Notamacropus eugenii: one gene and its partners. The protein of the gene in region 4 interacts with the protein of the main gene of each other region in a biochemical or structural test. Links are inferred from orthologs where the notes say so. Each region holds a gene or a part of one and is shown on either strand. Other genes may lie near its edges. The genes, in order: IRF8, IRF1, MECP2 and SPI1.

Evidence for each region.
Region 1: the proteins of SPI1 (region 4) and IRF8 form a complex in vitro, tested with the Homo sapiens proteins (3 studies listed by BioGRID). The link is inferred for Notamacropus eugenii from reciprocal best matches to the Homo sapiens genes SPI1 and IRF8.
Region 2: the proteins of SPI1 (region 4) and IRF1 form a complex in vitro, tested with the Homo sapiens proteins (2 studies listed by BioGRID). The link is inferred for Notamacropus eugenii from reciprocal best matches to the Homo sapiens genes SPI1 and IRF1.
Region 3: the proteins of SPI1 (region 4) and MECP2 form a complex in vitro, tested with the Homo sapiens proteins (2 studies listed by BioGRID). The link is inferred for Notamacropus eugenii from reciprocal best matches to the Homo sapiens genes SPI1 and MECP2.

What each region holds. Positions count from the first base shown.
Region 1 is NC_092872.1:700,494,181-700,501,612, forward strand, and holds the start of IRF8 (interferon regulatory factor 8), read left to right. Parts: upstream 1-4,432; 5' UTR 4,433-4,543; intron 4,544-7,432. UniProt on the Homo sapiens protein: Transcription factor that specifically binds to the upstream regulatory region of type I interferon (IFN) and IFN-inducible MHC class I genes (the interferon consensus sequence (ICS)). Can both act as a transcriptional activator or repressor.
Region 2 is NC_092872.1:344,799,603-344,807,613, forward strand, and holds the start of IRF1 (interferon regulatory factor 1), read left to right. Parts: upstream 1-5,007; 5' UTR 5,008-5,147; intron 5,148-7,331; 5' UTR 7,332-7,336; coding exon 7,337-7,423; intron 7,424-8,011. UniProt on the Homo sapiens protein: Transcriptional regulator which displays a remarkable functional diversity in the regulation of cellular responses.
Region 3 is NC_092879.1:23,083,852-23,091,295, reverse strand, and holds the start of MECP2 (methyl-CpG-binding protein 2), read left to right. Parts: upstream 1-4,337; 5' UTR 4,338-4,410; coding exon 4,411-4,463; intron 4,464-7,444. UniProt on the Homo sapiens protein: Chromosomal protein that binds to methylated DNA. It can bind specifically to a single methyl-CpG pair. It is not influenced by sequences flanking the methyl-CpGs.
Region 4 is NC_092877.1:3,612,856-3,619,839, forward strand, and holds the start of SPI1 (transcription factor PU.1), read left to right. Parts: upstream 1-3,903; 5' UTR 3,904-4,057; coding exon 4,058-4,168; intron 4,169-6,984. UniProt on the Homo sapiens protein: Pioneer transcription factor, which controls hematopoietic cell fate by decompacting stem cell heterochromatin and allowing other transcription factors to enter otherwise inaccessible genomic sites.

The DNA of each region.
Region 1 (7,432 bases), on a different chromosome or scaffold from region 4:
ACGAAAACATACATATGGAGCCATATGTATGGATAAAGTAATGGGTCTTCTGAAATATGGACTTCGATGTTAGAAAGAATTTTAATCCTGAAGTATGAATTTGTCACTGTTCAGTCTCCTCCATTAGACTGTAATCTCCTTGAGAATAAGAATTGTATTTTGTCTTTCACTGTATCCCCTGTCCTTAGCACAATGCCTGGTACATTTTATTTTTGAATAATTTCAGTTATGTCCAACTGTTCATGACCCCATTTGAGGTTTTCTTGGCAAAGACACTGGAGTGGTTTGCCATTTTCTTCTCCAACTCTTTAGGCAGATGAGGAAACTGAGTTTAAGTGACGCCCAGGGTTACACAACTAGGAAATGTCTGAGGCTGGATTTGAACTCAGGTCCTCCTGACTGTGGGGTCAGTGCTCTATCCACTGTGTCACCTAGCTGCCTTTAGAACACAGTAGGTGCTTAATAAATATGTATTAACTGACTGTGTTACTTTTGCTAGTTATTTACATTTTAAGTATTTCCTCTTGCTGAGGAAAAGATAGTTATCTCTTCTATTAAAGTTTTTCAAGGATGGAGAAAGATGTCCCAAGGTTCTAACACATATTAAGTACATAGCTTCCACTTTAAGTCATGTATAGAGTTCTCCACTCATGCTTATATCCCACATTGACCTTACAACATTCAGGGTGAATGTACAATAGTGGTCTATGGCTTGAAAGTCCCTAAGATACAGGACAGAGGATTTTTCTGCAGAAGCTAGAGTCTCAGAATGTGTTGTCTCTCCTCGCGTTCCCAAGATTCCCTTTAGTATTCTTAGGAATAGAAAAGGAGGGAAAAAACACGAAAGAACGGAAACTTTAGGGGATTATTGTTTAGGCAATCAATCAGTCCTCAGTGATTTAATGGTTCACTGCATGAAGAGAGTTGGATTACAGAGGGTTCTGAGGACACAGTGCCAATAATGTCACAGCTAATCTTCTATATCAATTAGACAGACCAGGGTTGGGGAAGCTGCAGCCTCAAGGCCACGTGTGGACCTCTCGATTCTCAAGTGTGGCCCTTTGACTGAATCCAAGCTTGACAGAACAAATCCACCTCGTAAAAGAATTTATTCTGTAAAAGTTGGACTCAGTCAAAAGGCTGCACCCAAGGACCTAGGCCATATGTGACTTCAAGGGTGAAGGGTCCCCATCCCTGGACTAGACAAAGAAAGGGCAGATGAGGGTAAGAGACCCTGGAAAGCTAGAGCCTTCTTTGGAGAGTTTGATCAGGAAGATGGGGAGGTTAGCATATGATAATTCACTGAAAAAATGAAAGTGAAGGATGAGAAGTCTTAGATGGGACATAATCACACTATTCAAAGATCTGACCATGTGTCATGTGAATGAATGAAGGGATGACTGATAGAGGGAAGGCCAGCTTGGTGGTATAGTGGATAGAGTGATAGACTTAGAGTTAGCAAGACTAGAGTTTGAATCCTGATTTAAGACCTTACTAGATGTGCCACTCTGGGTAAGTCATTTAACTTCTCTCAGCCTTAGTTTCATCACCTGTAAAATGGGGATGATAATAATAGCACCTACCTCCCAACATTATTTTAAGGATCAAATGAGGTATGCAAAATGTCTCAAAACTTAAAACAGCTTATAAATGCTAGTTATGATGATGATGGTGAGAATGCTTTTGTTCCACGTATTCCAATGGGAAGGAAAACTGGGACCCATGGGCACAAGTTATAGGTTAATAGAACATTCTAATTATCAGAGCTACCTAAAAATGAACAATGCTTCTTGAGGAAGTGAGTTCTTCCTTATCAAAGGTGCTTGAGAAGAGGATGGGTGACCACATATGGGAGATTCTCTATTTCAAATATAGAATCTTATACTCCAAGTTCTATGAAATAGAGACAAGAAAGATAAGCTGGATTGGAAGCAGTTTCTAAGGCTTACAGAGAGGTTCAGGCATAGATGAGGCGTAGGCTCTTGGGGAGAGGAATAAGAGATGGCTCCCAGCTTCCCCTGATTCTTGCCTTTTAATGTGCCTCTAGAACATATGTAATATGAATGTGCCATGGTAGCCAAAAGAGTAAGTGAACTCTTAGGTTAACCAAGAGAGATGCAGTGTTCAGCACAAGAGACTGGATTGCTTAGTGGGAGGCTGATCAGACCACAGCTGAAGTGTTGTGCTTAGTTCTGGGTCAAGGCTAGCTGTTGCTCCTGTTGAGATTTTCTTTCGAAATTAAAAAAAATGAAAAAAAAAGAAATTAAAAAAATGAAAAGACATAGTAAAATATATGCATATTTAAGTAACTGACATTTATTTATAAGAAAGATAATTGTAATGAGGATAAATAAATACTGCAGATTACCCTAAAGAACAGAGGTAGTAAAGGCAGGGCATAGTAGTATACATCTTTAATTTGATCATATGATCTAGGCTGTGCTGCTTACTCATTGAGTATAAGTCATTTCATCTTAGTTGAAGCCTCTGTTTTCTCATTGGTAAACCTCAGGTAAGAATGCCTGAACTCCCCAACTCATGGATTACTGTGAAGAAAATAATCCTTCATAAATATGAAAGCTCCATATAAATGTCGACTATTATTGTTGTATTTCTTGGCCTCAGTTTCCTCATCCTTAGACTAAAGGATTTGTACCAGATAATAATAAAATTTGTTTAAATCACTTTAATTTGTCTCGGGAATAAGACCTCTGAGGGTTAATTGGGTCACAACTTCGTTAAAACAACGTAGAAGTATTTTTCCCACCAGGCTTGCAGCATTACTTTCTGGAGTTCAAGCTGGGATCATGGTAATTAAAGAGGTTAGAGGTACCACTTATTGATGTAAAGTATTTTGAATATATGCTTGATGGTCATAGTGCCTTCATTTTTCTCAATTCAATTCAATTTAATTCAATTCAGCAAGCATCCCACCATGTGCAAAATGCTAGCATCTAATTTTATGGGACCAGCTATGATGTTGTCCTTTAAGGACAAGCCTAGCTAAGCAAAAAGAAACTCATTACCAGGACCTTGGCCACTGGTTGATTTGGGGGTGGGAAGGGGGACAACGGATCATAAAGACCATCTACTAAGCCATGGAGAGATTACAATCATAAAAATGGCAAATCCAGTATCTTTGCCAAGAAAACCCCAACACAAAGAGTCATATATGACTAAAAACTACTGAACAATGACAATTTTCAAGAGATTGATGACTTTTACAGTGTTGGTACCCCCTCCACTACTAGAGACTGTAATCTGATAGGTATAGTGTGGTACCTCAGAATCCTTTTGATTTGCATCTCTCTAATCAACAGAGATTTAGAGCATTTTTTTCATATGACTATAGACAGCTTTAATTTCTTCCTCTGAAAACGGCCTGTTCTTATTCTTTGACCATTTATCAGTTGGGGAATGAATTGTATTTTTATAAATTTGACTCAGTTCTCTCTATATTTTAGAAATGAGGCTTTTACGAGAGACACTGGTTGTAAAAATTGTTTCCCAGCATCCTACTTCCCTCCTGATCTTGGTTGCACTGGCTTTGTGTGTGCAAAAAGTTTTCAATTTAATGTCAGTATTGCTACCCCTGTTGCTGGTTTTTTTTTTTTTACTTCAGCTAGGGCATAATATATTCTGCCTCAGCCTTTTATTTTTACTCTACATATTTCCTTTTGCTTCAAATGTGGTTCTTTTAAACAACATATTGTATAGAATTATGTTTCTTAATCCACTCTGCTATCTGTTTCTGTTTTATGGGAGAATTCATGCCATTGATATTCACAGCTGTGATTACTCTCTGTGTCTTTCTCAGAAAAGGTTTCTTGAAGAAGGTGGGATTTGGGCCCAACTTGAAAGAAGTCAGGAAACCAGAAGGTTGAAGATGAGGAGGGAGAGAATACCAGTCCTGTTTGAAAAGCCAATAAAATAGCTGCCAAATGAATGGTACATAGAGTTAATGATATAAGGGTTTAGCTTTTAGTTTTAAAGTAAGTTCTTAGGATAACTCTTCTATTTTATATTGCCCAAATTTCTTTCTGTTTATCCCTTCTTCTCCCTCTTCCCAGAGAGCTGTCTCATATCATGAATAATTTTTTAAATTAAAAAAAAGAAGAATAAAAGGGAAATAACAAGTAAAACCAATCACTAGATTGAAAAAGTCTTGAAATGCACATAATATTCTGGATCTTTGGACCTTGCACCTCTGCAGAGGAGTGGGAGGGTGTGTCTTCTCATATCTCTTTTTTGTGTCCATGCTTGTTCTTTGTAATTTTGCAACATTCACTTTCGGCTGGTCTGTCATTGTTGCTGTTTCCATAGACGTTGTTGTAATTGTTTCACTTATTATTTTCTTGGCTCCACTTAACTTCACTCTACATAACTTCTCGGAAGTCTTCCCATGACCCTCCTGGCTGTACTTCTAAGTCATGGTACTTGCCTTAGCATGGAACTTTGCTCGTTGCATGGGGTCTTCTCCCTCTGGAATATCCATCCGCTCTTGAAGTCTTCTCACCAACATCATCCATCCTTTACCTCATTGGTGAGTTCCTCCAGAGACCTCCGTTTTGCGGACAGTCCCAGTCTGCCCAATCTGCATTCCCCTTCCAGCTGTCCTTCTGGCTCTTCAGACTTTAACTCCATGCCTCAGATTCAATCTCACCCTGAAATCTGCCGTTTTCAGCTCCATTTTCTGTGTTATCTTTCTCCGTTAGAATGTAAGCTATTTGAGGACAGGAACTGTTTTCTTCTTGCTTATATTTGTAGCCCCTGCACATAGTATAGTATCTGGCATATAGTCATCACTTAGTAAATATTTATTACTTTACCCTGTCTCATCATGCTTCTCTATATTCATCATATTTGTGATTTCTTATTGTTGAGTACTTTTTCAGTCCTGGCTGACTCTCCCTGACCCCATTTGGGGTTTTATTGGCAAATTCTGGAGTGGTTTTCCCTTTCCTCATTTTACAAATGAGGAAACTGAGGCAAACAGGATGAAGTGACTGTTTCAGGGTTACATAGCTAATAAGTGTCTGAGGTCGGATTTGAACTCATGAAGTTGAGTCTTCCTGACTCCAGGTCTGACACTCTACCCACTCAGCCAATTTTTAAAAATAAATTTATTTTTAGTTTTCAACATTCACTTTCATAAGTTTTAAATTTTCTCCCTCTCCTTTCCCCTCCCCAAGATGATATGCAATCTGATATAATCTGTCAGTTTTTTACAGCGCATTAATATATTCCATTACATTCATGTAACATGATATGGTTAGCCATTACCTAATTGATGGGCACCTACTTTCTTTCCATTTTTTTGCAACCGCAAAAGTGTTGCTATACATATGCTGATGTATATGAATGTTTTCTTCTTGTCAATGACCTCTTTGGGGTAAAACAGTAATGCGATAGTAGTTTGGGAGAGGGTAACATCACTTCAGGCTGGAGTGCTTAGGTGATGAGTCCTGAAAAATGAGTTTGGTTTAAATAGGCAGGAAGGAGAAAGGGCATTTTATTTGGATTCAACAGCCTAAGCAAAGACTGGAAAACATGAGGGTTTCTATTTTGAGGGAACAGGGAAGAGGGCAATGCAAGTGGAGAGGTAAGGTTTATATAAAGGAGAAGGGGATCAGGCTGGAAACAGATCCCAGAGGGTCTTGAAGGCCAGGATAAAGAAGTTGGATCTTGTTGTATAGTGAATGGGCAGCCATAAGAGATCTTTTTTTTTTTTTTTTTTGAAAGGGAGGGTTATTCAGCATTGACTTGGAACAAAATGTCTAGGAGAGAAGGCTGTGAGAAGGCTCATGACTTTGAGGGATTTCCCAAGCAGCTCTGAGCTGATCATGTTTCTATTTTTATGTCCTTAGTTTTGGCTTAAAAGAGATTTTGAAATGCTTTTTTCAGGATCTGGTTCAGTTGTGGAAGAGATCTGTATGGCAAAAATCCTAGTGGCTGCTGCCAGCCTGCTTTAGCTGTTTAGGAGCTGAGTTGCAAGGATAGTTGATGTGGGAGGAGAGGAAACTGACCTGAGAGAATAAGGGATAGATTTAATTTATGTTTTTTTCTGGCAGATGGCTGAAGAGAGGAGAAACTGAATTTAATAACAGGGGAAGGAGAAAGGGTAATTGGTTTAAAATTTTTATTTAATATCCTAGGAAGAGGACAAGGCGGAACGATTCTAGCAGTGGGAAAAGAGATAGAGGCTTTGACTGTAGCAGTGGGAAGAGATTGAGAGTGTCCTTGAGAAAGTAGCAATAGAAAATAGAAAAGAGCAATCGAGCTAGACATAGTTGTTTCAGATGCCTTCTCAGAATCCCAGCATAACACAGAAGTCAAGCAGAAGTCTGCAGGTTTCCCTCAATTGTTAGGGGTGCATATTGATGGATATCTCTCAGGCTCTTATCTATGTATGTCTGCATAGTGGACTAGTAGATTTAGAAACAGAAGACCTATATTTGAATATTCTTTTGGAGGCAATCAGGGCTAAGTAACTTGCCCAAGGTCAGACAGCTAGTAAGTGTCTGAGGCTGGATTTGAACTCAGGTCCTCCTGACTTCAGAGGCGGTGCTCTATGCACTTTGTCCCCAGTATTTGAATCTTAACTCTGCTAGCTTCCAGCTGAGTGATGTTGATAATTTGCTCAATTTTTCTGGGTTTCAGTTTCCCCTTCTAAAGATTAGATTAGAAGTAGGTGATCTCCAAGGTCTCTCCCAGTTCTAAGTCCTGTGAACCTGGAGTCTTTCTTCTCCTACCTGTCACTGTTGTTTGTCTTCTGTTCTTGAAGAAAACCATGATATTAGGGATGTGATGCCCTGGAATGCAAGTGAATGAGCTTACAATCCAAAGATCTGAGTTTGAGTGTTGGCTTTGCTGCTAATCCATCTTGGAGACTCACGTTCTTCATCTGTAAAATGGGGACAAAGCCAGCTTCCCTATGTATCTTCTGATTTGTTGTGAGAATCAAATTTTTATATCTGTCTGTCTATTTATCTGTCTGTCTATCTATCTATCTATCTATCTATCTATCTATCTATCTATCTATCTATTTATCTATCATCTGTCTGAATCAATTTGTCACTGAATAGTGAGAAGCCCTCTAATGTGATGTTCTTGTTTTATATAAGTATATATATGTATATATGTACATATATATACCCATATTAGAGCAGTGGAGACTGAGAAACATGGAAGGACTTGGGGTTCTCTCTGACTTCCTGGGTTTTTTCTATTTTGGTGGCCAGCTAGGTGTGGTGGATAGAACATTGGGCAAATAGTCAAGAAAACCTGAATTTCAATCTTGCTACTTACTAGTTGTGTGACCTTGAACAAGTTACTTAACTTCTCCCTGCCTCAGTTTCCTCATCTGTAAAATGAGCTGGAGAAGGAAACAGCAAACCACTCCAGTGTCTTTGCCAAGAAAACCCCAGATGGG
Region 2 (8,011 bases), on a different chromosome or scaffold from region 4:
TCAGGTTGAAGTCAGTCCCTCTCTAGCAAAACTTCCAACTAAATAAAAGGTTTTAAATGCCATTAGTCTCCTCTTGTGTGGCAAAATGCCTGCTGCTGATTCTCTTCCATCTGAGATTTACAAAGCAAGGGGTTCACTGCTCATATAAATGCTGACTGAACTCTTCCAGGTTAAATGGTAAGAGGAAGTTATCCCCTCCCCACCAGAAACTCAAGGATGCTTCCACTATCCATCTCTATAAAGGAAAAGGAAATAGGTCATCCTGTGACAATCATAGGGGAGTCTCTCTCTTAGTCATTTCTGGCAAGATTCTTACCAGAGTCCTCCTTAATAGGCTGATCCTTCACCTGGAAGATGGTCATATACCCAAAAGTCAGTGTGACTTCAGAAAGGGCTGAGGAACAGTCCATAGGGTGTACGCTGCCTGACAACTCCAGCAGAAAAGCTAGGACATAGCTGTACATAGTGTATGTCTATATGACCAACGCCTTTGATACTGTCAGTCATGAGGGCATGGGGAAGATCATGGCAAAATTTGGTTTCCCAAAGAAGTTCAGCAGTATTTACACGAGTTTCATGATAGCATGCCTGCATGGGTTCTGTATAATGGACAATCCTCTCCCACTTTCCCAGTCACCAGTGGAATAAAGCAGGACTATGTGCTTGTTCCCATGCTTTTTCATTTTCAATGATATCAGCACTTTCAACGAAGACTAAAACGTAAGGAGAGTTGGTGCATGATTTTTTATTTGCAGATGACTGTGTACTCAATGCAGCCTCTGAAGCTGAGATGCAACAGAGTATGGCTTGATTCTATGCAGCATGTGCCAGTTTGGGCCTGACAATTAACACCAACAAGTTTCTCTACCAGCCAGCACAACACCATCTATATGTAGAACCATTATGTACCAAATGTACATTCTGTACATTATGTACAGAAATTTTGACTGCTGTGGATAAGTTCATTTCCCTTCACAGTATGCTTTCTAGAGATGTACACATAGATGATGAGGTTGACACACATACTGCCAGTGCTCAGTGCTGGAGAGGCTCTGAAGGAAAATGCGAGAGAAAAGAATTAGGTTTCCTGGAAATCCAAAGGTCTACAAAACTGTTGTGCTGACCTCATTGTTGTATATCTCTGAAACCTGGACAGTATGCCAGTGCCATGCCAGGAAACTGAATAACTTCCATTTGAATTAGGAAGATTCTCAAGATCACCTGGCAGGACAAGGTACCCAATACTGAGGTCCTTTCTTGAACTGAACTGCCAAGCATTCAAACTCTACTGCAGAGGACAACTCTGATGGGCTGTCCATGTTGTCTGAATGCCAAACATTGGTTTTCCTAAAAGACTATTTCACAAAGAATTCACACAAGGTCATAAGAAGCAATACAAGGCCACCCTCAAAGTCTCTTTGAAGAACTTTGGACTTTATTATGAGACATGGGAGACACTAGAATATAGGACCACCCAGCATGGAGTGCCCTCATCAAATAAGGTGCTGCACTCTATGAGCAAAGCAGAATTGCAATAACTCAAAGGAAATATACTTGTGCAAATTTGGAGACATCTCCACTCCAAATATTCATATGAACTATTTGTACCCAACCTCTGGTAGAGCCTTGCAAGCTCTTACTTGTCTGATCGGCCACAGTCAGACGTATGGTACCTTGACTCTGACATAGTGATGTCATTTTGATTCTCTTTGAGCATGAAGGAAAACAATCAACCAGGACCGGATACCATTGATCTACTCTCTCCCCTCCCATTTTACAGATGAGGAAATTGAGGCCCAGAGAGGTTAAATTACTTGCCAAAAGTTATGCAGGGTACAAATAACAGAACTGGGACTCAAATACAATCTGACTTGGGTCCATGACTTGAAATACAGTCCTCTTTCAAATCAGGAATTTGCTGGTAACAATTGGTTGGGCTGAGGAGAAAAGGGGCAGGAAATACATACAGGACTCACTTTTAAGTTTAATCTACATTTTCTAACTCTAGACAATCAACAAAACAATAAAACAAGCCCTAATTTGTAGTGTTGGAAATGCTCATACTGAAATTTTAACAATAGGCTCTCACTAGACCTGTTGGAGCTAATTCCAGAACATCCTTTGTTTTCACCACACCAGACAGGTGAGAGAGACCACACAGACCTGGCTTTAATAATGCTGGCTCAGTGAAGTAAAAACGTGCTGCAAAGGAAGGACAAAACTGATAGAGTGATACATGGAAAAGGGGGAAAATATCTATTTCTGGCCACAAATTGTAACAGTCTGGAGGAACAATGAGGGACAGATAAGTTAAGTCTCTGGGACTAACTATTAATCAGCAGCAAATCCTCGGGAGTTTGAAGGGCTTAGGTTAGCTGGGGTCATCTGAATGCAAGGTCAAACTCAAGGTATCAGGAAGTCAAATACCACAGAGATTAATTGTGTGACAGCAACATCATTGGCCTGAAATTTGATCCAGGTTAATGGGTTATAACTTGGCTCAATTACTAGTCCCTCTGAGGTGACACCAAGTAATAAAAAAGAGAAGCCTTGGTTCCTCCTCATCCAGTCTCATCTCATAGGAACATAGATATAGAATTGGAAAGAAACTTTGGGGCTATCTAGTCCAACTCTTTCATTTTACAGATGAGAAAACTGAGACCTACAGAGCTGAAGTGACTTCCTGAAGATCACAATAGTGGTTACAGAGGTAGGATTTGAATGTACATCTTCTGACACCAAATCCAGTGCCCTTTTCCACTGTACCACACTAAGATCCACTCGTGGATATCCAGGCACCTGAAGCCCTCCAGTATACTCTCCATGCCATACATATCTTTGTATACACATGCTTCAATCTTTTCTTTTTTACCTCTGAAGTTACAAGAGCTTTCTCCCTCTGGGGATGGCCCCTAGGGCCAACACAGTACATCTTCAGGTCTGTTAGAGGCTTATGCTTCTCCCCTTGACAAAGGATCTACAAGGGAGGCTGTTCCACAATTTCATTCAACATTCAACAAGCACAGTGCTAAGTGCTGGGTACCCAAAGACAAAAATGAAACAATCCCTACCCCTCTGTTGGAGGAAAATAATATATACTGAGATAAAGAATTATAAAATATATGTAAAATAAATATACAGTAATTTGAGTGAGGCAGGAAGGACCACTTGAACTGAGGATTAAGGGAAGAAATTGTCAGGTACAGGGGTACACCTGGGCAGGGACAAGGAGGGAAGGGTAATGGAACGCTGTGTGCTAGGAACAACAAGAAGACCAGTTTAGCTGAGAAGCAGAGGGTATGAAGGAGATTGATGGGCAGTAAGTTTGGAAAAAGGTAAGGTTGGAGATAGAATGTGAAGTGTTTGAAATATCAAAAGGAGAAATCAACCCCCTGCTGTCTCCGAGACACACTTTACTCAGTCAGGGGGCTGATTATGAGTTTCCTCATTCAAGTGTGAGCTCCTTGAGAGTAGGAACTGTCTTTTGCCCCTTTTTTACCCCGATCATTTAGCACAGTGTTTGGCACGTACTGTGAACAGGTAGGTGGCTCAGTGGATAGAGCCTAGGCCTGGAATCAGGAAGACTCATCCTCCTGAGGTGAAATCTGGCCTCAGACACTTACTAGCTGTGTGACACCAGGCAAATCACGTAAGCCTGTTTGCCTCAGTTTCTTCTGTAAAATGAGCTGGGGAAGGAAATGGCAAACCACTTTAGTATCTTTACCAAGAAAACCTCAAATGGGATCAAGAAAAGTTGAACACAGCAGCAAGTGGCACATGGTAGGTGCTTAATAAATGTTTATTGATTGATCTCTGGTGCTTATCACAGTGTCCAGCACACTGTAAGCATATAATAAATGTTTATTGACTGAATGGAAGTTGGAAGGAGTGCTAAAGGAGAAAGATGGGGGAGGGGAATCTGACATCTCCCTCAAACAGATTACTGTTTTACTCTGGATTTGTACTGAACTGCAAAGTGGATTCATCCTGCTTCCGCCTCTCCAACACCCACATCACTAGGGATGGAGGAGTTCAGTACACTGAAGCCGATTCTATAGCTGAGAGACATTGTGATGGAGAACAGGCTGCCTGTAGAGTTCACATCTAGTGTTCTGCGATTCACGGAAACGCCTTCCTCACAACAATCTGTAATATAGGCAGGGTAACAACACCAGGACTGAAGTTTTGTACTTTCAAGTTTAATTTGATTGATTGATAGACAGACAAACATAGATCGATCGATCTGCCATCCAACTCTAACACTATATGGAATCAGGGGGCAAGGTGAGAAGTAGAAACTCCTGGTACAATGGCTTCTGTGGCCCCTGAAGGTGGCAGATACCACATTCCAGAGAAAGGTGAGTCTCTGGCACCCTCCCCCTGGGGCAACACCCCTGACTGCTGTCTCACCTTGGTCGGGAAAGTGCTGAGAAAAGATGACAAGAGAATTGTGTAGAAGTGCAGGATTCCAAAGTCTGGGGTGAAAATGAAGAATGCTGAGCAGGGTTTTCCTGGGGGCCTCTCGCCACCTTTTCCCTAAGGGCAGGCAGCTGGAAGCTCGCATCCCTGAGGGTGTCTCTCTCCCGGGCACGCCAGACTGCCTGTTGGGGGTGTGTCCGTAGCCCGCGGAGGCGGTGAGAGGGGGAGAGAGGGAGGAAGGCAGAGAGAGATGTAGCAAGCGAGCTGGGGAGGGAAAGAGGAGCTGGACTTCCCCCCTAGCCTCTAGCGCTACAACGGCCTGATTTCCCCGAAATGATGCTCTCTGCTCAGCCAATCAGCGGCGGCGCGGCTCCTCATTGGGCGGGGACCGGCTCTGCCCAGAGCGGGGGAATCCCGCTCAATGTTTAGTCTTCGCGGCCGGCTCCAGGACCGAGGCTCAGAGCGAAAGGCGCCGTCCAAGAGGTAGGAGGCCGAGAGCGAGACCGGAGCAGAATCCGTGCCACCGACTCTGCTGACTCTCCGCGGCCGGGCACCCCTGGAGCAGGGCCGGCGGGCTCCCAGATTACCCTTCGCCGCCTGAAGCCCCTGGAGCTGTCCCGCGGGAGGCGACAGCGGGCCCAGAGCTAGGCGGGCGAACACTGGGGACCAGGCGAGCTCCAGCTTTCCGAGCCAGACTTCTGCAGCGGCGGCGTGGGCCCCTGACCCAGGTAACCGGGGCCTCGAGCTCGCGATCTTCTCTGGGAGAGCTGGGCCTCAGCCCGACCGTGTCCGCAGCCCCATCCCTCCTCCCTCGCCCCTGGAAGGAGCGCTGGGACAGAAAGTAGCAGATCGGTGGAGGTCTGTGGCTGGGGGCTGACCCGTTGGGGAGGGGGAGGGGCGCGCTCCCAGCTAGGCGCCCCTGTCATTGCCTCTGCTCGAGCCTCGGGCGTCTCTTTCCGCACACCAGGAAGTAAAGACCATTAAAAAAAAAAAGACAGGAGAGCAGAGCCGGGGTCCGCGCTGCCGCAGAGCCGAGTTGTAACGTGTGGTCGGGGCTGCTGTGGATGCACCGTGCTCGCAGGGCTGGGTGCCGAGCCGGGCTGGGTGCTGAGCCGGGCTGGGTGCCGAGCCGCGCAGGGGGCTGAGCCGGGCTGGGTGCCGAGCCGCGCAGGGGGCTGAGCCGGGCTGGGTGCTGAGCCGCGCTGGGTGCCGAGCCGGGCTGGGTGCTGAGCCGGGCTGGGTGCCGAGCCGGGCTGGGGGCTGAGCCCCGAGCCGGGCTGGGTGCCGAGCCGCGCAGGGGGCTGAGCCGGGCTGGGGGCTGAGCCCCGAGCCGGGCTGGGTGCCGAGCCGCGCAGGGGGCTGAGCCGGGCTGGGGGCTGAGCCGGGCTGGGTGCTGAGCCGCGCTGGGTGCCGAGCCGGGCTGGGTGCCGAGCCGGGCTGGGTGCTGAGCCGCGCTGGGTGCCGAGCCGGGCTGGGTGCTGAGCCGGGCTGGGTGCCGAGCCGCGCAGGGGGCTGAGCCGGGCTGGGTGCCGAGCCGCGCAGGGGGCTGAGCCGGGCTGGGTGCCGAGCCGCGCAGGGGGCTGAGCCGGGCTGGGGGCTGAGCCCCGAGCCGGGCTGGGTGCTGAGCCGCGCTGGGTGCCGAGCCGCGCTGCTGCTCGCCTCTGCTCTGCCTGAGGAGCTTGGCCTTGGGAGGGCGTTTGAGGACAAGCAGCCCGGAGGGAGGGGGTGCTAGCTGCCCACGGAGAGGAAAGGCCGGGACGCGCTGACCCTCCCTCCACCCAACCATTTCCCTTCCCAAGTCCTCAGGCCAGAAAGCCTTGGGCTTTTGGTCCCTGATCCTGGGATCATTTGGCCCCGGCCGAAGAGTGGTGATATCTGGCCGCTTCTCAGAGCAGACGCCGCTGTGAAACTACCCAACCCCAGGAGCACTGGGTCATTACCCCAGGGCACCCAGAGGGTATTAGGAACCACTGGGAGCCTGTGTTGCACGTGCCCCCAAGAGGCCAACCGAGGGCCCGCCTGCCCATCCCCCTGATTCTGGGAAGAATGGCCCAGTTGCTGACTAGTCTACAACTTTCAGAAAACCCAGCTCAAAGCCACCTGTCCCCGCGAAGCAAGTGTATAGGCTCAAACTCCCGTGACCCCATGCCAGGACGCTGGGGGCACATTGTCCTTGCAGGGAAAGGTCTGGGGGACTAGTTGCTCGACGAACTGTAGCCCCAAAACAGCCGTGGGAGGGGCTTCCTGGAGGAAGCAGGGAAGGTTAATTCGCTGGGAGGCCGAGCTCCTCCTTAGAACAGGGGGGGTGTGGGGGGATAGGGGTTGCAGAGACTGGATAGTTAACGCTCTGCAGGATGGCAGGCAGATCAAGAAAGCTGCTTTTTGAGCAGTTGCAGCAGTTTAGTAAATGTTGAAGTCTTCCCTCTCAAAATAGGGAGGAAAATCTCTGGCTGCCCAAAGTGATTAGTTTGGTTAATAACACAGTGGAGAGAGGGTGGACTGTTCATCTCTGTGCTGATAATTCATAGCTGGAGATACTTTTCTTGGCAACAGGTGGCCTAGAAAATGAAGGCCCCGCCTTTACAAAGAATTTTCTATCAGTGAAAAAAGACAGGCTGGGCATTTGAACATAAAAGTGGCTCTTAATCTCGTGTTCTACAAAATTCTCAATTTATTTCCTGCCCTTCTTTGGCTCACATGCCTTTGGGCTGTTTGTGAGAAGGGAAGAACTTAGAACTAGAAATGTTTGTGCACTGTGTTAAGGATGCCCTCTTGCCTTAACTGTCTTCACTATGCATGCATCAGCCTTGTAGCTGCATATGTGTCTCCCTGTGTTTGTGGGATGGAGGTGGATGCGTAGAGCAGTTATTTCCTTCAGCACTTAAACCTCAGCCTTTCTCTTGGCTTCACAGACAACATGCCCATTGCCAGAATGCGCATGAGACCCTGGCTAGAGATGCAGATTAATTCCAACCAAATCCCAGGCCTGACCTGGATTAACAAGGTGAGAGCCCCACCTGGTTTTTTTTCATGTTTTATGAACTAAAGATCCAAATGGAACTGGGAGAGGAAAGAGTTTAGGAGGCAGAAGAATGTGCTTTTCCAGGCCCGATTGTGTATGGAGTATGCTATAAGTGTGCAAGGCACTTTTCTTGACTTTTAGGACGCAAGGGCACTCCCATCTCCCCTGTTTTAGCAGACAAGACCCACGTCTATGAGTAACCAACAACTTCCAATGGTGCCCATTTCCAGCGTTCTGAGCTCCTCAAACTGGCCTTAGCCACTGCAGAATCCCATCCTTGATGCCAGAGATAGACAAAGAACACTTTCTGACTGAGAGTTATAAGGAATAAACAGCCAGCCAGAAGTGATTCTACCTTTAGGACCAGGAATGAGCCTTTAATCAGTTACTTAGCTCTTTCCTAATGCAGGAGAATAATAATAACTTGTATATTCCTTTCTGGACCTGTGATGAAATTCCCTCTACAACACAAGTCAGCAATTGGTGCAGTTTACATAATCTTTAATTTAAGGGAGCTTCCTGGGACATTAGGGGATTACAAGATCTAGTCAGGATCTCACAACCAGAGGG
Region 3 (7,444 bases), on a different chromosome or scaffold from region 4:
ATCCAGAAAAAGAACTATGGAGTCTGAATGCAGATCGAAGCAGACTATTTGCACTGTTTTTCATGGCTTTTCCCTTTTCTTCTGTTTCTTTTTTTACAACATGACTAATGTGGAAATATGTTTAACATGATTGCACATGTATAACCTATATCAGACTGCTTGGCATCTTGGGAAGGGGAGATGGTAGGGAGGGAGAAAAATTTGGAACTCACAATCTTATACAAAATGAATGTTGAAAACTTTTCATATGTAATTGGAAAAAATGAAATACTATTTGCTAAAAAATTTTTTTAAAGAAATAATGAGCAGGTTGATTTTAGAAAACATGGAAAGACATGCATGAAATAATGAAGGGTAAAATGAACAGAACCAGAGAATGTTGTATACAGTAACAGCAACATTATTTGAAGAACAACTATGAAGGACTAAGTTGTTCTGAGTATTATATATACTCAAATCAACTCTAAAGGGCCTATGAAGGAAAATGCTATCCACCTCCACAGAAAGAACTAATAGAAGCATGAATAGTATGGTTTTACATATACATCTTAGTTAAATGGTGTCCTCTAGTTTGGGGTGGAGAGGGAAGGAGACAATTCAGAACTTAAAATGTAACAAAAAAATTTATATGAAATTAAAAACAAAAATAAGGTAATAAAACATCTGGGGGAAAAAAGAAATAAGTGCAAAGATTGTATGAGTTCAATGACAGTCACTTCCATAAGTCTGACCCCAAATCTCTCTCTCTCTCTGTCTCTCTTTCCACCTTCGTTCTCTCTGTCTCTGTTTCTCTATATCTGTCTCTGTCTCTCTCACCCTACTCTCTCTGTCTCTGTCTCTCTCTGTGTCTCTGACTCCTCCATCTCTCTGTCTCTGTGTGTCTCTCTCTGTCTCTGTCTCCCTCCCTCCAATCTGTTGCCAAAACCTTTTTATTTTACTTACCTAACATCCATCCCCTTTTCTTCTCTGCCACTTCTACCACCCTGGTGCAGACCCTCATCACCTCACACTTGGACAACTGCAATAGCCAGTTGGTGGGTCTGTCTGCCTAAAGTACAGGTCTGACCATGTCACTTCTCAACAAACTCCAGTGTCTCCTGGATCCAACAGAAATTCCTCTCTGGCTTATAAAGCCCTCCTAACCTGTAATCCCTTCCTTTCCAGTCTTCTTTCACCTTTCTCCCAATTGTGAACTCTTAGGTCCAGCGATACAGAAAGCCTTTCTTGATCCTCTTTCATTTTAGTGCCTTCTCTTTTGATTATTTCTTTTTTCATCTTAGATATGGTTTGTTTGCTTGTCTCCCCCATTAAATTGTGAGCTCCTAGAGGGTAGGGCATCTTTTGCCTTAGTCAGGACTGGATAGTCAATAAACATTTACTAATCATTCACTATATGCCAGGCCCAGTGAAAATCCAAGAGGATACAAAGAAAGGCAAAAGACAGCCCCTACCCTCAAAGGGCTTACAACCTAGGGAGGGAAGCCAGCAAATACAAGTATATTCAAAGAAATAAGGGACTATATTGGTGATTTCATTGGTATATGGCAGTTGTTTTTAAGTGTTGTCCAGGAACTTCTAGGAGGTCCTTTTCAGGGGGTCTGCAAGGTCAAAATCTTTTCATCATACTAAAGTGCTTTAATTTCTAACATAAATAACAACAGAAATAACCCACATAAACAAAAGCTCTTTGGGAGCATCTTCAATAATTTTTAAGCGGGTAAAGAGGGCCTGAGACTAAAATGTTTGAGAACCACCTGTATAGGTAACTCCAGGGTGAGGAAACTCCTTCTAGCAATGCAGATTGGAACTTTCTTTGCAAATAAATTACAGAGTTTTCTAGAACACTAAGAGGTCATGTGACACATGGGGGGGGCAGTCACACAGCCATCATGTGTCAGAGCAGGGGCTTGAAGTCAAGCGTCTCTGGCTCTGAGGCTCGCTCTCCATCCTCTACACCATGTTGCCTCTTGTTATATTCAAAATAGATACAAGATACTTTTTAAAAATTATCAAGCACTTATTTTCTCTTCTACCCTCACCTCACTCCACAGTGGGGAAAAAAAACAAAAAGAACAACCAAACTGTTGTAACAATACAGAGTCCCCAAAGTCTTAGTGCAGTATCAACAGCTTAAAATTTTACTAAGACTTTGGAGGACACCATGTATGCATAGACAAGCTAAACAAATTTTCACCCTGGTGACATCTACAAATATCTCTTTGGTTGTTTCTAATATAAGATGCCATTTGGAATTGGAGGGATCAGCAGTGATCTCCTTACTGATTTTCCTAACTCCAAGCTATCCACGATACCATCTAGCTGCCCTGTAATGTTCCCGCTAGTATTATTTTTTAACGTGGGGGGGAAAGCCCAGGGATGGCCTATTTCCTATGGATGTTACCAAATGTAAAATACAGTGTAATTTGGGAAGTGTGGACCTGAAAACTGTAGAGAAAAGGCAACAGGGTAAATGCATATATTTTATGATTTAATTAATTAAACAATTCCCTATTAAAGATAACAGTTACATAGCATTACAGAGTCAGAGGTTAATCTGACTACCTGGTACAGAAATCGTCTGTCTTAAATACACTTTGCCGTGAGAAAGGAACTTTCTTAGTTGAACAAATCATAAATTTAGTAAGACAATTAACAAAGTAGTGTCAGTTATGATCCCAAGCTGTGTAACTTCCTCTCTGTAACATATGTCTCTGTGACATAAGATAAGGAGAAAATCCCACCACTCTGATGGCAGGCCTCCTGCTGACACATGAAAGGGCACCTTTAAGAAAGTTTCAATTGAAATTACAACCCAAGACATCTGTGTTTTTCCTTATCACTAAGATGCCAGGAAAAGGGTCTCCTAAGGAAATTACTGTCAGCCCCATCTGCTTTGCTGACACCAAAAGGCATTCTCTGAGTTTACTTAAGATAACAAAGGTCCAGACTCTTCTTAATTCAAGCTTTGGCCCTTATTAAAGTCCAAAATTTATATTAAATATTATCAGAAGTCAGGAAGACCTGCATTCAAATGTTGCCTGACTAGTTGTGTGACCCTGACAAATCACTTAGCCTAGTTGAGATAATAGTTAAATGCAGTGAGAATCAAATGAGAAAAAATATGTGGTGTTTTGCAAACCTTAAAGCTCTATAGAAATCTAAGCTATTGTTAATTAGGAAATGGAACTTGAGCTGAGCTTTGAAAGGATCGAGGGGTTCCAAGATGGGAAGGTGTGGGAAAAGAGATCGTGATCAGTCGGCCAGTATGGGAATGTCATTGGCAAGCAAGTGTAAATTGGCTGTGGAAACTGCATCCTAGAAAAACATACCATATGATCCATGGTGTAAGGCTGTCGTATCAGCTCACGTTTATGTAGCACTTACTATGTATAGACCAGGCACTTGTGCTAAGGGCTTTACAATTATCTCATACCAAGTTTGGGAGATCGGTGCTATAGTTATCATCCCCACTCTACACATGAGGAAAATGAGACTAAGTGACTTACCCAAGGTCACACAGCTAAGAAGCATCTGACTCCAAACTCAGTGCTCTGTCCGCTAGTTGCCCCACTAACATTGAGGTCGAAAAGAGGAGTCTTTGTGCATGCTATCCTGGTCCTGTGACCAAAGCCCACCTCCTGCATAAATGCAGTTGATGTGGCCTGTTTCTTTTGGCCGCGTTTATATGAACCTGCAGTGGTGCGAAGTGGGGCCGAGGAAGGGGAGGGTACCCTGAAGCCATATCCTTGTTCTAGAGGTTGCCTTCCCTAAAGGTACGGATAGACTTAAATGAATGGGTTTAAAGTGTGTGTCAGACGGCTATACGTGCAAGTACGTGTGTATGTGACTGGTGGACATTAGCCGGTTTATAAAAGGGACAAATGCATAATCCTAATATGCTTCAGCAGAGAAAACAGCAGAGCGGATGCTTAAAAGCGTTAATATTCAAATCTCAACCGCTAGACCATCCCAAATGTCCTGCCACGCCCACTTTCCTGAACCGACAGCTAAGAACGCCCAATTGGCGCAGTCCCATTAAATTACCATTATCCAATCAACAGTCAGAAAGGGCTTCCTCTCTCTTCCACCTGGGCGATAATTGACAGAAACTTCCGCCAATTCATGGAGCTGCTATCAGGACTCCAGCCTCCTTCGCTTATTCCGTAGCCAATCATGCACGAGTTTTCAGAATGACGTCTCCACCATCCAATCACAAAGGAGCATGGGTGGAGCCGCCCAGCCCCAGAAAGAAGGGACGGGATAGTGGTGGGTAAGGGAACTGAGGGAAGCTAGAGGGATAGAGAGGGCGTGGCCTGGCTGAGACGTGGAGCGGCGCGCGCGCTCCCAGGTTGTCGGCGGCGCGCGCGCACCCTCCTCATCAAGAGTCCTGTGGTAAAAGCCGTTCGGAAAATGGCCGCCGCCGCCGCGCTGAGCGGAGGAGGAGGAGGCGAGGAGGACAGACTGTGAGTGGCGCCGCTGTGGCCGCGGGCGGGGGCCCCTCCGCGGAGAGGAGGCAGCGCGGGCGGGGGCCACGGGGTCGGGGAGGCGAGCCGGGCCGGGCTGGTGGATGGCGTCCCTCCTTCCCTCCCCCCTCCCTCGCTCTTGCTCCCCCCTCCTTGGAGCCCGGGGCCCTCCGTCGGTGCCACCCCGCCTCTCGCGGCGGCCGGCCTCCCGGCGCGCGTCCCAGCGCGCGCACGCCCTCCCACCCGCTTGCTTGGCCCTGGTTAGGCGCTCGTGCGCTCCGGCCCGCTGCTGGTGGGCCTCGAGCGCCGTGCCGCGCCGCGCAGTCCTCTGCTCTCGCGCCGTGGCCGCGCGCTCCTGCCTGGCCTATCTGCCCGCCCCCTCCCTGCCCAGCTCGAACTCGTGCACGCCCGCTGTCGCGCGCTCGCTCCTCCATCCATCCTCCCCTTCCCCCCATCACCTCCCCATCCCCTCTTTTCTCTTCCCCCCACCCCCGTTGTCTCTTATCCCCCTATTTCTTCTCCCCATCCCCCTATTTCCTTCCCCCCTCTGTTTTTTCTCCCCACCCCCCCCATTTCTCCCCCATTTCTCTGACTTTCCCCCTCCCCCCCCGCCACTTTGGCCCCTCCCCTCCTGCGCCTGCGTACTAGTCCTACTCCCCGGCGAAAGAGTGCGCCACAGCAGCCCCATCTCCCTCCCTCCCTCCCTCTCCTTCCCCTCCTCTTGCCTCTTCTGCTGCCCTGTTAACTCCCTATTTTTTTTTCGTCCCCAACATCTTTGCCAGTCCCCACAGGACTATCAGTTCTCCTCCTCCCCTCCCCCGTGGCAGGAAGAGGGAGATGGGAATTACTGCCTACCCCATAGGGAGGAGTGTACATTGTGTCCCCTCTGTCCCACACAGCCTTTTCTAATAGAAGCAGTTCGGGAAGTGTCACCAATTCTGATACTTGCAGCCGAGGAGGCTCTTTGGTGAAGAGCCTCACGTTGTGCCTCTCATCATCTTGGGGGATGTCTGAATTTGTGGCTGTTGGAGTATGGTATGCACACCTCACATCCTTCCCCCACCACCCAAAATCTTCCAGTTACATAAAAGTGATGGGCCATACTCTGGAGCCCTGAGTTCGAATTGTTCATTTGGAGCAAAGTCACAGGCAGGACAATGGGTGTCTGGTTTAGTGGTTTCTTCAGTCTGATGTACTCTACCTTTAGTTCTTTCATCTTTATTTTGTTCCTAGTTTAGTTTTGAATGACTCCCCAAACTGAAACTCATTTCAAATTTCCGAAGTGTAAGTAGCAATCAAGACCTTCATATGTGACACTTGGCCCAACTGATTGTAAACTTTCAAGTTCTTAGCAAAACTAGGTGACTTTGGCCTGGTTTTAGGTTTCAGTACAAAGTGTACAGCTTTCCACTGAAGACTTAAGGAGATTGGGAAGAATCTGAAAAGATTTATCTCATCCCAGAGACCATTTATGAAATTAATATATACAGATACTGTAGGAAAAATAATTGCTCTAAAATGCAAATAAAATTCAAACCAGTTTTTTTCTTTCACCTAATATGTCAACTGCTTTTAAGATTAGGTATGTAAGAGTGTAGCTTGTTCACAACAAATATACATCATTACAAAGGAGACATTCTTGACTTTTGTTCCATAGAACGTGTGCAGACAGTTTTTTTTATTTGTATATTTTTACTAGTGGAAATTGGTTATGCTGAACCATACACACCCCTTGTGACTGGTAGCATGCATGGGTGAGACAGCTGGGTTCTGTAAGAACTGAGGGCTATGGCTGTGGAACTAAACTTGCTCTGTCTTAAGCATACTGACCTAGACTTTCTAACAGAGGAACTTTATAAGATTTATGGATTTAGTTAAGCTATGAAAATGAAATATAACCTTGCCCCTATGGCTCATTAAATTAAACATTTATAAGGCAGCTAATGCCCTCAATGAGAACTATAGTACTGGCATAGTGTGAAGCTTTCATTTGGATCCCTACGTTCTGGTAAATTCAACAAATCAAATTCCTAGTCTTTCAAAATATGCTACGACCCAGTTAAAACAAAAAAAAGACAGGGTGGTTTTTTGTTTGTTTTTTACCCCTGATCTTAATTCCTGGTCAAGCAAGCCTAGTAATTCATACTGTGAACCTTTTGAAACTTTCAAAACCAAAAAACCAAGCTAGAAGTAAAAGTGTCACTCTTCTTGTGCTCTCGGTGTTTTGTTTTTTTATCAATCCTGTCGGTTTAAAAGCTGGAAGAAGAGACCTTAGAGATCAGTTAATGTTATGGATGAGAATGCTGAAAAGATCAGACACATAAGGAGGAGATTTGAACTCAATTTCTCCAACTCCAGACTCTTTCTACAATACTAAGCCGACAAGTAGCCTAACCACTGTTTTGTTGTTTTTGGTTAGGATGTGTGGTTTCATTTCTGTGGGAAACGCCTGGTATGGAAACGTGGTCTGTAATTTCTAGTCTTAGAGAGTTGCCGGTGCCACTGACAGGGTAAGTGACTTGCCAAGGGTCACACAGCCTGCATGTGTCAGGAGCAGGACTTGAACCCAGGGCTTCCTGACTTTAGGGCTTGTATTTTATCCACTAGACCATGCTGCTTATAAGTGTAGATAAATACATACAAACATATCAAAGTGGGCATTGTTGTACAAGTTAGAGGTATGTCTAACTTAAGAAATGGAGAAAGTAGATCCATGAGCAGCAACCTCCTTGACAGTCATCTGTTCTTCACACCCCTGGTCCTTTAAATAGAATAAATATAAACCTCATCTAGGGAGGGGTTTCTTTGAAAAATACATTTAACTGAATTAGTGGTGTAAATTAGACATCAGAGTTCTGAGTGTCCTGATAGCTCAGAGAAATGCCACTTCCTGATTTCTTTGCTAGTGTCAGCTTGTCACATCTCTGAGATTATAATACAAGTCAATGGAAAAAAACGATTTCTTTTTTCACAGATTTCCT
Region 4 (6,984 bases):
CTCTGTATGTGTGTGTGTGTGTGTGTGTGTGTGTGTGTGTGTGTGTGAGTGTGTGAAGAGGAATTCTGGGCTTGCTTTATAATATTTTGGACAGGCAACCTGGCAGGGTGTCTAAGAAAGAGTGTCTTAACTTCAGTTCAAGAAGGTTTTCCTGCCTCAGCATTCAATAGCTGTGCAGCTCTGGGCCAGTCATTGTCACCTTGCTGAACCTCAGTTTCCTGATCTCTAAAATGGAGCATTTGGATGAAAAGGCCACACTCTAAATCAATCATCCTTCTCTTTGGGATCTCTTCTTTGTGTACATGGCCCGCCCCCATCTCCCACCCAGATCAGGCTCTTGGAGGCCAGGGCTGCCTTGTTCTTTACCTTTGAAAACCCAGCATCAAACAGAAAGTCTTGCCCCTGGTCAGTGCCTAACAAACAATGACACCAAGTCACATTTCTAAAGTGCTTTAAGGTTCATAAGATACTTCATTCAGGGTGACCCAAAGAAGTGGAACTAGGCAAGTATTACTGTGCCATTTTACAGATAAGAAAACTGAGGCTCTGAAAGAGTAAATGTCTGCCCGTGATCAAAGGCTGCAGAATTTGGGAGTTGGAAGGAGCCTCAGCAGCAATCTAGTTTGAGCCATACAAGAAATGAACAGTCACTGGAACCTGCGTCACAAATGTCCATTCAGCCTCTACTCAAAGATCCCCCAAGGAGAGGACAGCCCTCACCTCCCGAGGCACCCCGTCCCACTTTGGAATAGCTCTGACTTACTCTGACAACTGTGTCGGAGAAGGGATCCAGGTCTGCAGTGTCTAAGTCCTGTGCCCTACTCCCTGTGGTAGGCTAGGCTGCTGCTCATAATACTGGGTGCAGGTTCTTAGATGCTGGGCTTCCAAGGCTGGGACCTCCTGGGACATGGGCTCTAAAGTCTAGGTGCAAATGGATGTTGAATAAAAGCTTTCTGATGATGAGAAAGACATTTTGTTTCTTTCCCCTTGTCTGACTGCACGGTCCACAAGAAAAAACCACTGCTCATCCAGACAAGCTCACACGACTCATGTACATGTGTACACACACACACATGCGCCCACACACATGCACACACACACGCACACCCTTGATCCCTCCCACTCTTGCATGGCTCTTATCTGGGGGCCCACTCCCATGACAGATGAACAGAGAGCAGAGCCAGACACAAGGCTCATCATAGATTTTTAGATCCGAAAGGAACCTTAGAGGTCATAAAGGTCAGCATCTTGTATAGATGAGGAATCTGAGGACTACTGGGGGCAGAGATTTGTCTAAGATCTTGCAGATGGGTGGAGACAAAATGAGGACTAGAGCCCACGTCTTCTGACTCTCAGGCCAGGGCTCTTCTATACTGAGCTAAATCTCCTCTCCTCCTGACCCTCTGCCCCTAAACATCTCATACTGGAGTCAAAGGACCTGGGCTCAAAGTCCACCTCTGATATTCAAGCAAATCACATTATCTGGGCCTCAGCTTAAAATGAGGAAATTGTCCTAGATGTCTCCTGAGGTCCTGTCCCATGATCCTATGATCTTAAATGTGAGCCTGACTCAGGAGGGTCTTGCCAAGGGAGCCAGGAGAAAGACACTGGCCTTCTACTCAAAGGCTAATGGAGAAGGGGAGCTTGGAGTGGGACCCCTGGAGAAGCGGAGGAGGGACAATGTGCTTCCAGCATGAATGAACTGGCATTAAGTAATCTGCAGTACAGCAGATAAGAAGACTTAGAAATGGAAAAGACTTAGAGAAGAGGACAGAGAATATTAGAACTGGAGAGGACCTTAGAACACAGGATTTCAGAGCTGGGAGGGACCTTAGAACACAGAATGTCAGAGCTGGGAGAGGTCTTAGAACAGAGAATGTCAGAGCTGGGAGGGATCTTAGAACACAGAATGTCAGGGCTGGGAGAGGTCTTAGAACAGAGAATGTCAGGGCTGGGAGAGATCTTAGAACAGAGAATGTCAGAGCTGGGAGAGGTCTTAGAACAGAGAATGTCAGAGCTGGGAGAGATCTTAAAACACAGGATGTCAGGGCTGGGAGAGGTCTTAGAACAGAGAATGTCAGGGCTGGGAGAGGTCTTAGAACAGAGAATGTCAGGGCTGGGAGAGGTCTTAGAACAGAGAATGTCAGAGCTGGGAGAGATCTTAAAACACAGGATGTCAGAGCTGGGACGGACCTTAAACATCTTCCCTTCCAAGCTCTTCATCTTGCAGATGATGAGACCTAGAGAGGGAGAACAGCTACTTGGGCTCCAGCTTAAAAGAGTTTTCAAGCCAACAGAATGAATCACAGGGAAGGAAGTTTCTAGGTAGTGTTCCCCCTGAACTGATTGAAAGGCTGTCATGGAATGGAACTGGGGGAGTGGGATGTTTCTAGGGCTGGTCTGGAAACAGGGCCCCTAGGGACTTTGATGGAAAGGATGGAATATGATGCTCAGGTTGGTATACATGATGCTCAGGTTCTCTGGGTTGAGGAAAAGGAAGTTGGTAGAAATAGGATGAGGGAGAAAGCTGGCACTGATGCCTGTAATTCACCACATACCTGTGACCTAGGCTGGGGCTCGTTCCACAGAGAAGCTACTACTGCTTCCCCTTGAAAGGGCCTGGGGGGCCAAGGGCAGCATGCCCCGGGAGCCCTCATCACCGTGAAGTTCCTACTTCCTCAGCCTTCTCCCAACCTCTTGGGATGCCCTCAAGGGGCCTGCCCCTGTTAGTCTGCAAGGGGCCTTAGAACCCAGGTCTCCCTGTTCCAGGTCTTTCCCCATACTAATCCATCCTCCACTCAGATGTCAAGGTGACTTTTCTGAAGTGCTGGCTTGACCCCGAGGCCTCACCGTTACCTTCACAATCCAATCAAAGTCACCTCCTCTCTCCCTGATACTTAGAGCTGGCTCCTTACCTTGCCAGCCTTCTCACATTCCCATCCCCTGCACTCTCCCAAGGCCCTGGCCCACCTGCTTTTTGTCACCTATAACTCTGCCTCTTCAATCTTTATCCTTTTGTAGTGGCTGCCTCTCTAGCCCCTACCCTTGCCCCAAAGTCTGGAACATTCTGTCTTCTCCCCACTGCTTTTTCGATTCTATGACTTCCTTCAAAAGTCACCCCAAAGCCCCCTTCCACAGCTGACCTTTCTCATGTTGCCCAGCTGCTAACACCTTCTTTCAGATGACCTTTCAGGTGACCCAGGATATAGAACATTAGGGCTTGAAGGTACCTTAGAACACAGACTATGAGAACTGGAAGCAACCTTAGCACATACAACATAGGATGTCAGAGCTGGCAGGGGCCTTCGAGCATAGAATATCAGAGTTTAGCAGGGAAGTTTAGAACATAGAGCATCAGAACTGGACTTAGGAACATAGCATGTCAGGGACAGGGAAGGTCCTTAGAACATGGAACATGGAGTATTAAAATCAGGAGGAACTTTAGACTACAAAACTAAATGAAAACAGTGCTTGCCACATGGGAATCAGGTTGAGGTCACTTTAAGGAGATATCACAGGGGACCTGAGGGTCATTTTGCTCCAGGGAGCCATGGTGATACCAGCCATTGCCACTGCCTGCCTGGGAGGACACCAGGCCCCAGCAGGCCTTTGGTGGGGAAAGGTCCAGGTCTCCCAGGCCTGGCCTCAGCCCTCTCCTCCCCTTCCTGAACCCACCGTCCCCTTTCAGGCTTCCCCCCAGCCCCCAGAGGGCTGCCTGCTTCCTCTGAGCTGGGGGCTCTGGCCTGGTGGCCTTCCCAGGCTGGTCTCCTCCTGCCACCTGCCTCAGGGGCCAGCCAGAGACTTCCGGTAGCGCAAGAGATTTATGCAAACCCGCTAGGGTGGTGATGTCACCCTGGGGGGGACTATCTCCCAGCTACAGGCCCTTCGATAAAATCAGGAACTTGGGCTGCTTTGCAATGTCAAGGGAGGGGGCTCACGTCGGGATCAGCCAGGCCAAGGGGCAGGACTGAGGCTCCTTCGAAAACCACCCTACCCGCCCCCTCTGGGTGCCCGCCTCCCACCCCCAGCCCCACCAGCTCCGACCCTGTGGCTCCCAATGCCCAGGGGCTCCGGAGTGGGCCCTGCTGAGGCAGGGGAGCTGACGGGCCCTGAGATCGGGTGGATGTTACAGGCGTGCAAGATGGAAGGATTCCCTCTCGTGTCCCCTGTGAGTATGGGGGCTCCCTCCCCCTCCTCTTCCAGCCCCCTCTGGTTTCTAATCAGTGGGAAGCTGGTGTTTCCTCCCCGGGGGCCCTGGATGAAACAATTGGGACAGGGGTAATGGAGTGACGGTCGGAAGGTTTGCTTAGGGACTGAGGGTGGAACGAATGGAGGCCAGTGGGTGCTGAGGGCTGGATAGTGGTGGGGTCTGTGAGCTAAGGGCCCCTGCCTGCTTATTTCCAACCTGGAGCTGTGTGGGCTTGGCACCAAGACTAGACCGAGCACAGGATGGAGAGGCAAAGACTACAGAGGGTGGGGCATCCAGGGCCTGAGTCGGGGGATGCATGTGGATGGGTGAAACAGGAGCTCCTCGCAACTTTGACCAGAAAGAAGGGAATGGAAGAGAGAGTCAGGCTGAGGGAGAGGGGCAAAGGGGCACCCTTTGGGGTAGAAGTAGAAACAGGTGGCAAGTACCCAAAGCTTTGGGGCAGGGGATGGGCTAATTGGCCCTACGGTGAGGCACTATGATTCCAGGAGGCTGGTGGGGAAAGTAGGTGCTCAGGGAGGTCAAAGACAGACTGGTCCCCAAGACAAGCAGGCTGACGTGGGTATGGGCTCTCAGGGAAGCCCAGGGTGGGGGTCAGCTGTGGAATGGGATGGGGGAGGAAGGGATTGGAAGACAGACCCTTACCATGCTCCCCTGCCCTCCCGTTGGGGCATATCACCAAGTAGAGGAACCCTCTCAATGGGTCTTCATTTTCCTTCCAACCACTCCGAGAATGAGAGAAGTGGTGGAGGCATTTTGCTAGGCTCAGCCCAGCCGGTCTTCACTTGACTTGGGCTGGCTAAGCTCCTACTCAGGGTGGCGCCTATAGGCAGATCTTGGGAGTCTGAGCTTTCCCTAGAGCTGAGGCCAAGCCAGGGCTAACCCCCAGTCATCTCATCCAGCCGGAGCATTCTGGTACCCTGTCTCCTTCCCTTTGGAGATCTGGGCTCTGAGGTTTCCTTGGTCTGAGATATGGTGGGGCGGAAGACAGGATCGCCTGGGTTCTCATTCCACCCCACCCCAAACACTGCCGCCAGGCTTAGAGACTCAGGCTCTGGCTCAGTGGCAACCCTTAAAGAGCCTCCGTTTTCCCAAGCTGTTGATTTCAGGGACTCTTTGGCACAGAGGCCTTCCCCCATTCCCCTTCTGCTCCCATGTCACTTCAGCCCTTAATCTCCAGATAACTCAGTCCTGACCCACCTCACCCCCCCAGCTTCTTGGGATCTCTTGCTTTTCTCCACAACCTAGAATCTGAGGGGTTCTCAGCTAGGGAGGGGGATTTCTCCCAGGGGATTGGGAGGATACTGAGCATTTGGGACGCCTCTTCCAGGCCACATTGTTCCTGTGGCTGCCCCCAAAACTGCTTTGGTTCCCAAGCCTGGGTTACTAGTGCTTTCACCATTACCTGTCTTTGTGAATAAAGGGGGAACCCTGGCTTCTCATGGGGTAGATCTACATGGGAGAAGAACAGGCAGGGAGGGCCTGAGGGCCAGGCCTACCCAGCCCTAAGTCACATCTGGTTTAGTTCAGAGAAAACAGGAGCACAACTTTCGAGCTGGAAGGGACCTTAAGAGTCACAGAGTTCCACTCCCTCATTTTACAGATGAGGAAACTGAGGCCCAGAGAAGGGACTTACTCATCTCCATCTGTGTGATGGAAATGGACAAGTCAATTTAAGCTCTCAGCCTTGGGAGCTAATACCTAGGCCAGGTTCTGAAGGAGAAGACTAGCGTGTGTCATTTGGTGAGGAGTGGACCTGGGACGAGGTGAGGGGGGGGAGGTCTGTGATCGTGAGGATGAGGAGTGGATCTGGGAGTGATCAAGGCGTGTGACAACGTGTGTGGGTGTGAGGGGAGGGGAGTGAGAGAGGGTGGATGTTCTCCCTCAAATACTTTCTTTGGAAGTAGGTGGGGGTGCCTGAAGGCAGAGTGAACTTAACTGTGTGTGAAGGGGGAGGACAGGTGAGTGACTGTGAGACCTCATGAGAACCAGTGGGAAGGGAGGAGAGGAGTGAGGGCTGAGGGGAGGGGAAGAGAGGTAGAGGCAAGCATAGGTAGGCAGACAGACAAATAGCCAGGTAGGTAGATAGATAGATGATAGATAGATGATAGATAGATACATAGATAGATACGTAGATAGATAGATAGATTAGATAGACAGACAGATAGAATATTAATGAATCATTTATTGTAAATCAAGGCATTGTAGTAAGCTTTGAGATACAAACACAAGCAAGCCTGTTCCTTCCCTCAAGCAGCTTATCTTCTAATGGGAGAAGACACCACATAATGGGGATCCAGAATGAGGGGAACAAGGGGAGTGGAGTGGGAAAGAAGGGCTGGAAGGGACCTGAGAGGTATCAAATTAGACTCTTCAATTTACATTGGAGGAAACTGAGGCACAGGGACGTTCAGTGAATTTTCCCAGGGTCACACAGCTCTGAAGTATCTGGGGGCAGGAGATTTGAACCCAAGGAGGAGATACCATTGTTCCCCTAAGGAGCAGGCACCTACTTCTGACCTCTGCCACATGTGCTTCAGTTCTGGATTCTCTAGGCTCCTTTTAGAATTCCCCTAAGGCCATGATAGCTGGTGACCTCATCCCATACCCCGATCTGTATGAAGGTCTTTGGATCTCTGACTCTACGGGACCCCTAGTCCTGTACTCACACACACTTAAACTCTGCTTTGGGAAGCACCCTCATGTCATAGTTCCTCACCTTGCAGATGGATAGGGAAAGAGAATACAGGAGAGGGTGGGGGCTATGAATTGGGTGC